Linked DNA regions of Mus musculus. The protein of the gene in region 1 binds, or shares a complex with, the protein of each later gene. Links are inferred from orthologs where the notes say so. Each region holds a gene or a part of one and is shown on either strand. Other genes may lie near its edges.

Evidence for each region. Proteins that work in one complex are often made in the same cells at the same time.
Region 2: the proteins of Npr1 (region 1) and Nppa are in contact, whole or in part, in a crystal structure (PDB 7BRG), measured with the Rattus norvegicus proteins. The link is inferred for Mus musculus from reciprocal best matches to the Homo sapiens genes NPR1 and NPPA. Residues at the interface, in NP_036745.1 of Rattus norvegicus: Asp90, Val115, Tyr116, Ala119, Pro120, Arg123, Ala139, Leu140, Gly141, Ile142, Val144, Tyr148, Tyr182, Asp184, Leu186, Gly187, Asp188, Asp189, Arg190, Phe193, Phe194, Val196, Glu197, Tyr200, Met201, Arg204, His213, Gln214, Glu215, Phe216; in NP_036744.1 of Rattus norvegicus: Arg126, Ser127, Ser128, Cys129, Phe130, Gly131, Gly132, Arg133, Ile134, Asp135, Arg136, Ile137, Gly138, Ala139, Gln140, Ser141, Gly142, Leu143, Gly144, Cys145, Asn146, Ser147, Phe148, Arg149, Tyr150.

The regions. Positions count from the first base shown.
Region 1 is NC_000069.6:90,452,109-90,456,328, forward strand, and holds part of Npr1 (atrial natriuretic peptide receptor 1 precursor), read right to left. Parts: intron 4,202-4,220; coding exon 4,055-4,201; intron 3,912-4,054; coding exon 3,788-3,911; intron 3,662-3,787; coding exon 3,593-3,661; intron 3,159-3,592; coding exon 2,984-3,158; intron 2,809-2,983; coding exon 2,710-2,808; intron 1-2,709. UniProt on the Homo sapiens protein: Receptor for the atrial natriuretic peptide NPPA/ANP and the brain natriuretic peptide NPPB/BNP which are potent vasoactive hormones playing a key role in cardiovascular homeostasis.
Region 2 is NC_000070.6:147,998,589-148,003,150, reverse strand, and holds Nppa (natriuretic peptides A preproprotein), read right to left. Parts: upstream 2,430-4,562; 5' UTR 2,317-2,429; coding exon 2,197-2,316; intron 2,094-2,196; coding exon 1,767-2,093; intron 1,377-1,766; coding exon 1,365-1,376; 3' UTR 1,077-1,364; downstream 1-1,076.

The DNA of each region.
Region 1 (4,220 bases):
TTTAACTCCACTCTCATTCGTCTGAGGTAGACTTCAAGCACCTCAAATAAGCAAGTAAAGCACTCACAAAGTACTAAATGCAGAGTGGCACACAGGAAACACTATGTAAGTTGTTGGGATCAGTTAGTTGCCTCTACTGTGTGCGTGTGTGTTAGTATGCATGCATGTATGCATGTGTACATGCCTGGAGGCAGAGTTGTGAATTTTGAGTGTCTTTCCGTCACTTTCCAGTTTACTGTTAGACCCTGGCTCTCGCTGAGCCTGGGCTTACTATGGAACTCCCTGTTTGGGCTAGCCTTGACTAGCCGGTGAACTCCAGGAATCTGCCTGCAGACCTGTTCTCTGCATGTCCCTCCCTGCAGCACTGGGGTTACATGGCTCTATGCCCAACTGGAGAGTCAAATGCAAGTCCTCATCCTTGAATAGCATTTTACGCAGTGAGCCATCTCTCTAGACACTCCACCTTACCAGCACACACACCTTTTTGTGAAACAGTTTCATCTGGCCAAGGCTAACCTGAAACTTGGAATCCTAGTGCCCCAGCCTCCCAAGTGCTGGGATTACAGGAATGTACCATCTGCGTGGATCAGTATTCTCTTGTTATGGCTGAAGAATTGAAATCTAGGGCAGGTCTGCCCAAGCTGTCCCATTGAGGACCCGTTGTTCCCACTAAAGCCACTCTCACTCTGACCTGTGTCTTCGTGGTATCCCTTATTGCTGACCCACTTTTGAGAAGGTATTCTGTGAAGACTCATCTCTGAGAGACGTTCTTTCCTACCAGTCAGCCCCAAACATAGGTGCAAAGGATATCAGCTGAACCGCACTTCTTTGGGCTTTTAGGGCTGGCTTCTTACCAACAGGCTCTGGTGAGGGTCATATGGCCTTCTCAGCCTGATACTCGGTAGCTGCTTAGTAACTATTGACTTTACTGAATGTATCAAATATAGCAGGGAGCTGTCTATAATTCTAGCACTTGGGCAGTTAGAGTGAAAAGACAGGTCAGCCTGTCTGTCTCCACCGGTGTGTGTGTGTGTGTGTGTGTGTGTGTGTGTGTGTGTGTGTGTGTGTGTGTGTGTGTGGGGTGGTGGTGGTGGTGGTGGTGGTGGTGACAAAGGTGGTCAATCCTAGCACTCAGGAGGCAGAGGCAGGCAGATCTCTGTGAGTTTGAGACCAGACTGGTCTACAAATCAAGTCCAGGACAGCCAGGGCTTCTTGCTGCTTGTTTTTGGTTTGGATTAAAGGCTTGCGCCACCACACCCAACCTTGCTGGTTGTTTTACAAGCAAAACAAGAGACAGACAGAGAGAGAGAGAGAGAGAGAGAGAGAGAGAGAGAGAGAGAGAACCACATACACAAAAATAGAGGAAACAGGGGGCAAGATCAAGGGAGGGGTGGAAACAAGCATTTATTAGATGCCTACTGCCTACCCAAAGAATTGTGCTAGATCTTTTACAATTCTGAAACAGGGTTACTGTTGTATGGAGGAGCTGAGGCCCAGAAATGATAAATGACAGTTAGTTACATGCTTGGCATTTTATATTGTATTCTTATTATTTTTTAAAAAGATTTATTTATTTTATGTGAGTTCACTGTAGCTGTCTTCAGACAACCCAGAAGAGGGCATCAGATCCCATTACAGATGGTTGTGAACCACCATGTGGTTGATGGAAATTGAACTCAGGACCTATGGAAGAGCAGTCAGTGCTCTTAACCACTGAGCCATCTCTTCAGCCCCTTCTCTCATAATTAAAAAAAATTTTTTATTACCATTACTTATTTATTGTGAGTGGGGGAGGACATTTTCAGACTTGGGGGGATCATTTGTTTTTTGTTTTGTTTCACAAGACAGGGTATCATTATATAGCTCTTGCTGTCCTGGAACTCACTCTGTAGACCAGGCTGGTTTCGAACTTTGAAATATACCTGCCTCTGCCTCCTTAGTGCTGAGACTAAAAATGTGCATGCTAAAGTTTTTAAAAATAAAATTTAAAGTAATGTTTATCCATTTTTGTATGTGTACATACATTCATGTGGGTATGTGTTGAAGTCAGAGGACAACTTGTGGAATCCAATCTCCCCTGGAACCGTATGGGTCTCAGGGGTCAATCTCAGGTCACCAGGCTTGGCCAGCAAGCACCTTAATCCAGTGAGCCACCTCACCAGCAAAACACCTATCTTTGTGGGTGCATGAGTACATTAAACAAACAATTAATAATAATAATAATATTATTATTATTATTAAATAGACTTTGTTTCCCAAGCTGGTAGCTTAGGCCTGTTATCCCAGGTACTTGGAGACAACATCAGGAAAATTATAAGTTCAAGGCCAGCTTGAGTTGCTTAATGAGATCCACATTAAAATAAAGAATATAAATATCTTATATCACATACCTCAGTGTTAGGCCACTTGTTAAAGTCTCTTAAAAAAATTGTGTTAGAGTGCTTTGCTCAGATGTAAGCTAAAGAAAATGCTTTGAGAACACTTCTGTAGCTAACTAAGCTTTGGGGCTAAGGTGGGCTTAGTGCGTTTTCAACCCCATGTGTCACACACACACACCAATTGTCTTGATTTACAATGTGGTAGATACATGTATAGGGAAATGAGGGCAGGCAGAGAGAAGGCAGGAGCTAGCTGAGGAACTAGGTAGATAGAAGCAGCCGGATGTACTAAGTAGTCACCCTTCTCATTCCCTCAGGAGGGCCATCCTACCTTCCCCATTAGACTCCATTCTTGAAGCTGTGTTGACTGTGTCTCCAAAGAGGCAGTATCGGGGCATCTTTAGCCCTACCACACCAGCACACACGGGACCTGGGAGGGGAAAAGAAAGGAACAGAGTCCAGGGAAGTCAGAGGAGGTGAGCACCCCAGAAGAGGTAGGAGTTGGGATATGTGGTCCCAGGGTGTGTGGAGAGAGACAGGGGATAAAGGTTTAGTCTCGGACTTGTTTCTGAGTTTCAGCCTCCGGAGGCCTTCCGTGGTCAGACCTGTGTGAATTCCAATGCGCAAGCGCAGCTGTTCCTGGGGCCTATGGCGGATGCGGAAGGAGCGTACAGCATCGAGCAGTGCAAGTGCCATTCGGGCTACCTCTCGGGCATGGAGCTGTCCATTCCTCACTGGGAGCCCTGATACCACCATGTAAGCATCACCAATGGTCTCTACCTGTGGGGCGGGGGAGAATAAAGGACAAGCTTTGCCTGCGTTACCCGCCTACATTCTGTGCCTATCAACTGGCCTGTCAATGTACTCAGCCTCAGCCCGTTTCTCTGTCTGTTCCTGGGTTCCCCCCACCCCTGTGTGTTTCTGCCCATGTTCTTGGTCTTTGTTTTCTCCTCCTCCTCCTCTTCCTTCTTCTCCTTTGTTTTTTCAAGACAGAGTTTCTTTGAGTGTAGCTATGGGGTCCTGTCCTGAAACTTGCTCAGGCTGGCCTCAAACTCATAGATTTCCCTGCATCTATCTTCAAGTGGTAGGATTAAAGGTGTGCACCACCATGCCTGGCCTTTTTTGTTTTGTTTTGTTTGTTTCAGAGGATCCCTCTGAACATTTTCTGACTGTCCATGTCTGCCTGTCTTTCTTGTCTCTACTCATAACCTCACCTTGTACACATCAAAGTTGTCTATGACAGCATCAAAACAGGTGTACAGATCATTGAGCAGGGTGACCACCTGGAAGGCAAAGGAAGCCAAGAGAAATGGTGAATGAGGGCTCCCACCAGGGACAAGTGGAGAGTACTAACCAGGTGGCCAAGCTGACCTACCTGGCCTGTTGCCTGTGGCTGAACCCCGGCTTACCTGCATGGGTGTGCTCTCTGCTGAAAGAGCTGTAAAGCCCACGATATCACTGAAATAGATAGTAACACTATCAAATGCCTCAGCCTGGACTGTCTCGCCTCTCTTCAGCTGCTCAGCCACAGAGCTGAGGGGAGAGGGCAGGTAGAGACCAAGAGGTGAGATGGGATGGGGACAGGGCTATACGTTTGTGTGTGTGTGTGTGTGTGTGTGTGTGTGTGTGTGTGTGCGCGCGCGCGCGCGCGCGCGCGTGCAGAGTTTAGAACTCACTGAGGCAGAATCTGGTAAAGCAGGGCCTCAGCTTTGCGCTTCTCCTCCAGATAAGCCTGTGTTCTCTCCTCTACCAGTTCCTCCAGGTTGTTGGCGTACTGTTCCATGCGTGACAGCAGGTTGTCCAGGATGTTGCTGCTGTTCTCCCTGAGGGCCATGGGTTACA
Region 2 (4,562 bases), on another chromosome or scaffold:
GATTGGAAGTGATTGAAGTTCTTCCTCAATCTCCAGCCAATCACTGTCTGCTCCTGGCCTTGCTGCCCCTCAACAGGTGTGCACGATACTACTCGGGTTATCCTCCCCATTTTTATATAACATGCCCAGTACAGGTTAGGGACACAAGTACACAGGCACACGCACATGCGTGCGCACACACAGACACACACAAGCACACAGGGGGGTTAGCAAACCATATCCTATTGGAGCTATAAGATGACCTGAGTGATCTCAGAGAAGAAGCAGTGTTCACTATGAGCCCTGAATGTGTTCTCTGCTTAGAGCAGTGCCTTTCACAAGCTGGTATAAAAACACTGCACCTTAGCCAGACTTGGTAATGTAGCAAGGCAGGTCTCCTAGAGTCTGAGGCCAGCCAAAGCTACATAAACTAAAAGTAAATAAGGTACTGCATGTTTCCTGGTGGTTCTCTCCTCCACGCAACGTACAAGTTGAAGCTCCACAGTCCTGTGTTAGGGAGATTGTGGCTATTTTCAAATGCCTCTGGCTCCCTGAGTTTGATCTCCAGCACCGAGTGATACACGTGGATAGGTGGTGACGCAGCAGTGGGGTAGCCCACAAATCGTTTGAACTGGCCACCCATCAGCCTGTAAACCTTCCTCCTCTCAGCTGCTTAACCCACCCTCCATTCACACTTGCCCATACTCAGAGAGTGAAATTCACATGGTCACAGCAGCTGGCACTCTGTAACAGATCTGGGCAGTTTCTGGTTCTCTAAATGCCCCTTAAAGCCACCCAGGCTCTAACCAGAAAGGAATGCTTGAAACTTCTGAGCAGAGATGTCATTACCTGTCCTCAGGAAAAGGTGTGTTCGTGTTCCCTTTTCATGAATTAAAAATAAATGCCCTTTTCAGCCTGGGTGGACTTTCCCGGGTTCTGTGATGGAGGCAGAGCATTTTGAGGACTATGACGTGAGGCTCCCCCCCCACACACACACACACAGCAAGAAGAGGGAGGGAAGGAGGGAGAAATGAGGGATCAAGGCTGGGGAGAGCAAAGAACTGAGGGCAGAAGCCAAAGAAGCACATCAGGGCCTCGGCGTCTGTCCTTGGTGCTGAAGTTTATTCTTTTTTTTTTTTTCCAACTGCTTTCTGAAAAGGGTGAGGATCTACCTTAATATGCAGAGTGGGAGAGGCAAGACCCCACTAGACCACTCATCTACATTTAACATCGATCGTGATAGATGAAGGCAGGAAGCCGCAGCTCCAGGAGGGTGTTCACCACGCCACAGTGGCAATGTGACCAAGCTGCGTGACACACCACAAGGGCTTAGGATCTTTTGCGATCTGCTCAAGCAGAATCGACTGCCTTTTCCTCCTTGGCTGTTATCTTCGGTACTACAAAGAGAAAAATATACTGGCTTGATGATCTGCCTTTACTGGGCTAAATTGTTCCACTTGAACAGCGATCAACTATTTCCCACAAGCCACAGTCTAGCCTCTGTGATTAAACCGGCAAGCAAGGCACTGGTAAGCATTAATGAGGCAGTCTTGGCCCTGTATTCTAACTCCCCAGTGCTTGTGGCTCAGACCCTGCAGCAGCTGTTGTCATTGTCTTGAAACTCAAGGGACACCCATCGTAGTGAGGAAGAACTCACAGAGAAAATGATACATGCATCAGGCTCTCAGCTGCCAAAGATGCTCCCTGGTAGTGTCCCTTGGCAAGGTTTGAGCCCTAACAAGACCCCACCTGACCTCTATCCCATTTCCATCCACAGCTCCTCTTACCCGGAAGCTGTTGCAGCCTAGTCCACTCTGGGCTCCAATCCTGTCAATCCTACCCCCGAAGCAGCTGGATCTTCGTAGGCTCCGAGGGCCAGCGAGCAGAGCCCTCAGTTTGCTTTTCAAGAGGGCAGATCTATCGGAGGGGTCCCAGGGGCTGCGCCCTAGAGCACTGCCGTCTCTCAGAGGTGGGTTGACCTCCCCAGTCCAGGGAGGCACCTCGGGGAGGGAGCTAAGTGCGGCCCCTGCTTCCTCAGTCTGCTCACTCAGGGCCTGCGGGGGCATGACCTCATCTTCTACCGGCATCTTCTCCTCCAGGTGGTCTAGCAGGTTCTTTATAAAGGCAAAATAAATACAGAGAAAGGGGACGTCTCAGGAATGGACCCAGTACCAAAGAGACCCTGGTCCCAGTCTGTGTCCCACTTCCTGGCCCTACCTTGAAATCCATCAGATCTGTGTTGGACACCGCACTGTACACAGGATTTGCTCCAATATGGCCTGGAAGCCAAAAGGCCAAGACGAGGAAGAAGCCCAGGGTGATGGAGAAGGAGCCCATGCTGGCGTGGGTCGGGGCACGATCTGATGTTTGCTGTCTCTGCCCACTCTGGTTTCTTTCTCTCTCTCTCTCAGCTTTTGTCCGTCACTGTCTCCTAGCTGCCAGCATCTCCCGTTTTTATAGCCCCCCAGCTCTTTGAGAAGGCAGGGGGGCTAGAACCCTCCCCATTCTGTCACTTGCAGCGATAAAGCGATGGAGTGAGGAGCCAGCAGAAGATGCCCTTTTAAAGTTATCAGTTCGGCAAAGCTTGTCACGGCCCCTTTGCCTTGAGCAGCTCCACTCACCCCCCTCCCCCAGACCCTCAGCTGCAAGAGTCACATTCTTGCTGATTTGCCTCAAGAGGCCCCCACTTCAAAGGTGTGAGAGGAGCAGAAAAGAGTCCTTGGTTATCTTCCTGGGCGCTCGCCTCAGGATTCTTTCTCCCTGGCAACAGGACCCATGCAGGGAAGCAGAGGGTGACGGCTGGCCTGCACCCAGCTCCCCCTGCTTGCTGCTCAGCTGTCAGGGGCTCCAAATAAGGGCGGGAGAGGAGGCAATGACAGGCAGCTGGGAGGCCAGCTAGGCTGGCCAGGGAGTACACATGCTGGAGCTAGCTTCACACCTGATTCATCGGCCTCGTGGGTGGACCTCTGGCCCCAGACAGCCCACCCCCACCCTAGATGTCCCTGTTAGCAGTCAGGTGAAAGAGCTATTATTTTTTTTTTAGAGTATGAAGTCAGCCAGGAAGCCAACATGATACAGGCTCTAAAGAATTCAGCTACACGTGTAAACACCAAGGGATGTTAGAAGAGCATATTTCCTCTAAAGTTTATTTTTACTGCCTCCCAAGACTCGTGTCCAAGGTGCCAACAGGATGGGTTTGGAGGATGAAACCACTTTTCTTCTTTCCAAAGCCCAGACTCTGAGCATGAAATATGTGGTGGTCCCACCCTTCCCAGGGAAATAGAAGGAGGAGGTAAGGGATTGAGGGGGGGACACATACACCATTCTCCATAATGTCCTTCATGACCTTTGAGACCAAGGAAGTGAGCCATGAATTCTTCTGGCAGCCTCAGGAGCATGAGCAGGCAGTCCACCTTTAACAAGTGGTCTCCACACCCCAGTGTAGCCATTTTCGACATATGTATGCTTTGTGTGTGTGATAAGTGTGTGCATTTTCTGCTGCTCTCTGCTTTCTGACCGTCTTAATGGGCTATTGGAAGACTTCCACGCCCATTGACCCTGTGGCTGCCTGGTGGAGTTGTCATGTGGCTGGAAGTCACAAGAGGTGTCTGCGGTGATGTTTTCTCTAAGATAGAAAAAGAGAGCCCTTTGAGAAAGCTGGGGGTTGTAGGCAACCAATTTGGGTTGGCCAATCTCTCCTTGAAGTCTGAAATCTGTGCAAGTTCACACTGTCGCCTCCGGATGAGTCCCTGGGATGCGCTCACTGCTTAATTGTGTGCCTGGGGATTATTATTAGCAGAGAGGACTAGGCGAGCAGCCCTACTGGGGGAACTCGGGCTCCTTGCTGTGTGTGTCACATGACCTACCTCCTGGAGATGGTCTTTGAGTTGGGCAAAGACTTGAAGAACGGCTGAGGCGGGTGGCCTCAGACAAGTGCTGTTGCTTTTCTGTTCTGAGCCACATCTGAAGTCTCTATGTGGCCCTAGGAGAGCTATGATCCTGACCAGTGCCCCAGGAGTGCAATTTCAAGGTTTGCCCATCTTTTTTTGGCTAGAGTCAACTTTCCAGGGTGGAACTGGAGGGGACGTGAATGTCATCCACTGAGACTCTGTGACCTCAGGGTTTCCTTGAGGGGCAGGGGCAAAAGATGCTCTGCTGTGATGCTCTGCATGCTCTCCGTACCTCAGTGCCGCCATGTCCAACACAGTGTATAATACTGTGTCTGACAAGTGGTGGAGCCCATCACCCACTCAGCCCAGTCCTCTAGAAGCCTTTGATTTGAGCACCAATCGGAAGGCAACCCAATGTGAAGTTTCTCTCCATATCTCTAGTCCTGCTCTGCTTTGGGGTACCTTCCTGAGATGTCCAGAAGCCAGCCAGCCTTAGCTTTAGGAATGATAAAAAGAAAAGCAATAGGTAGGGCTGGGTGTATGCTTGATCTCCCAAGCAGGAGGACCTGAGGCCGAGTCCTCGGCATCATTCATAGACCCAGGCAGGGATGCTGGCACAGCATGCAATGCTGGGAGACGAAGACATGAGACTCTCTGGAACTTGCTGCCTGCCAGCCTAGCCCGCCCAAACAA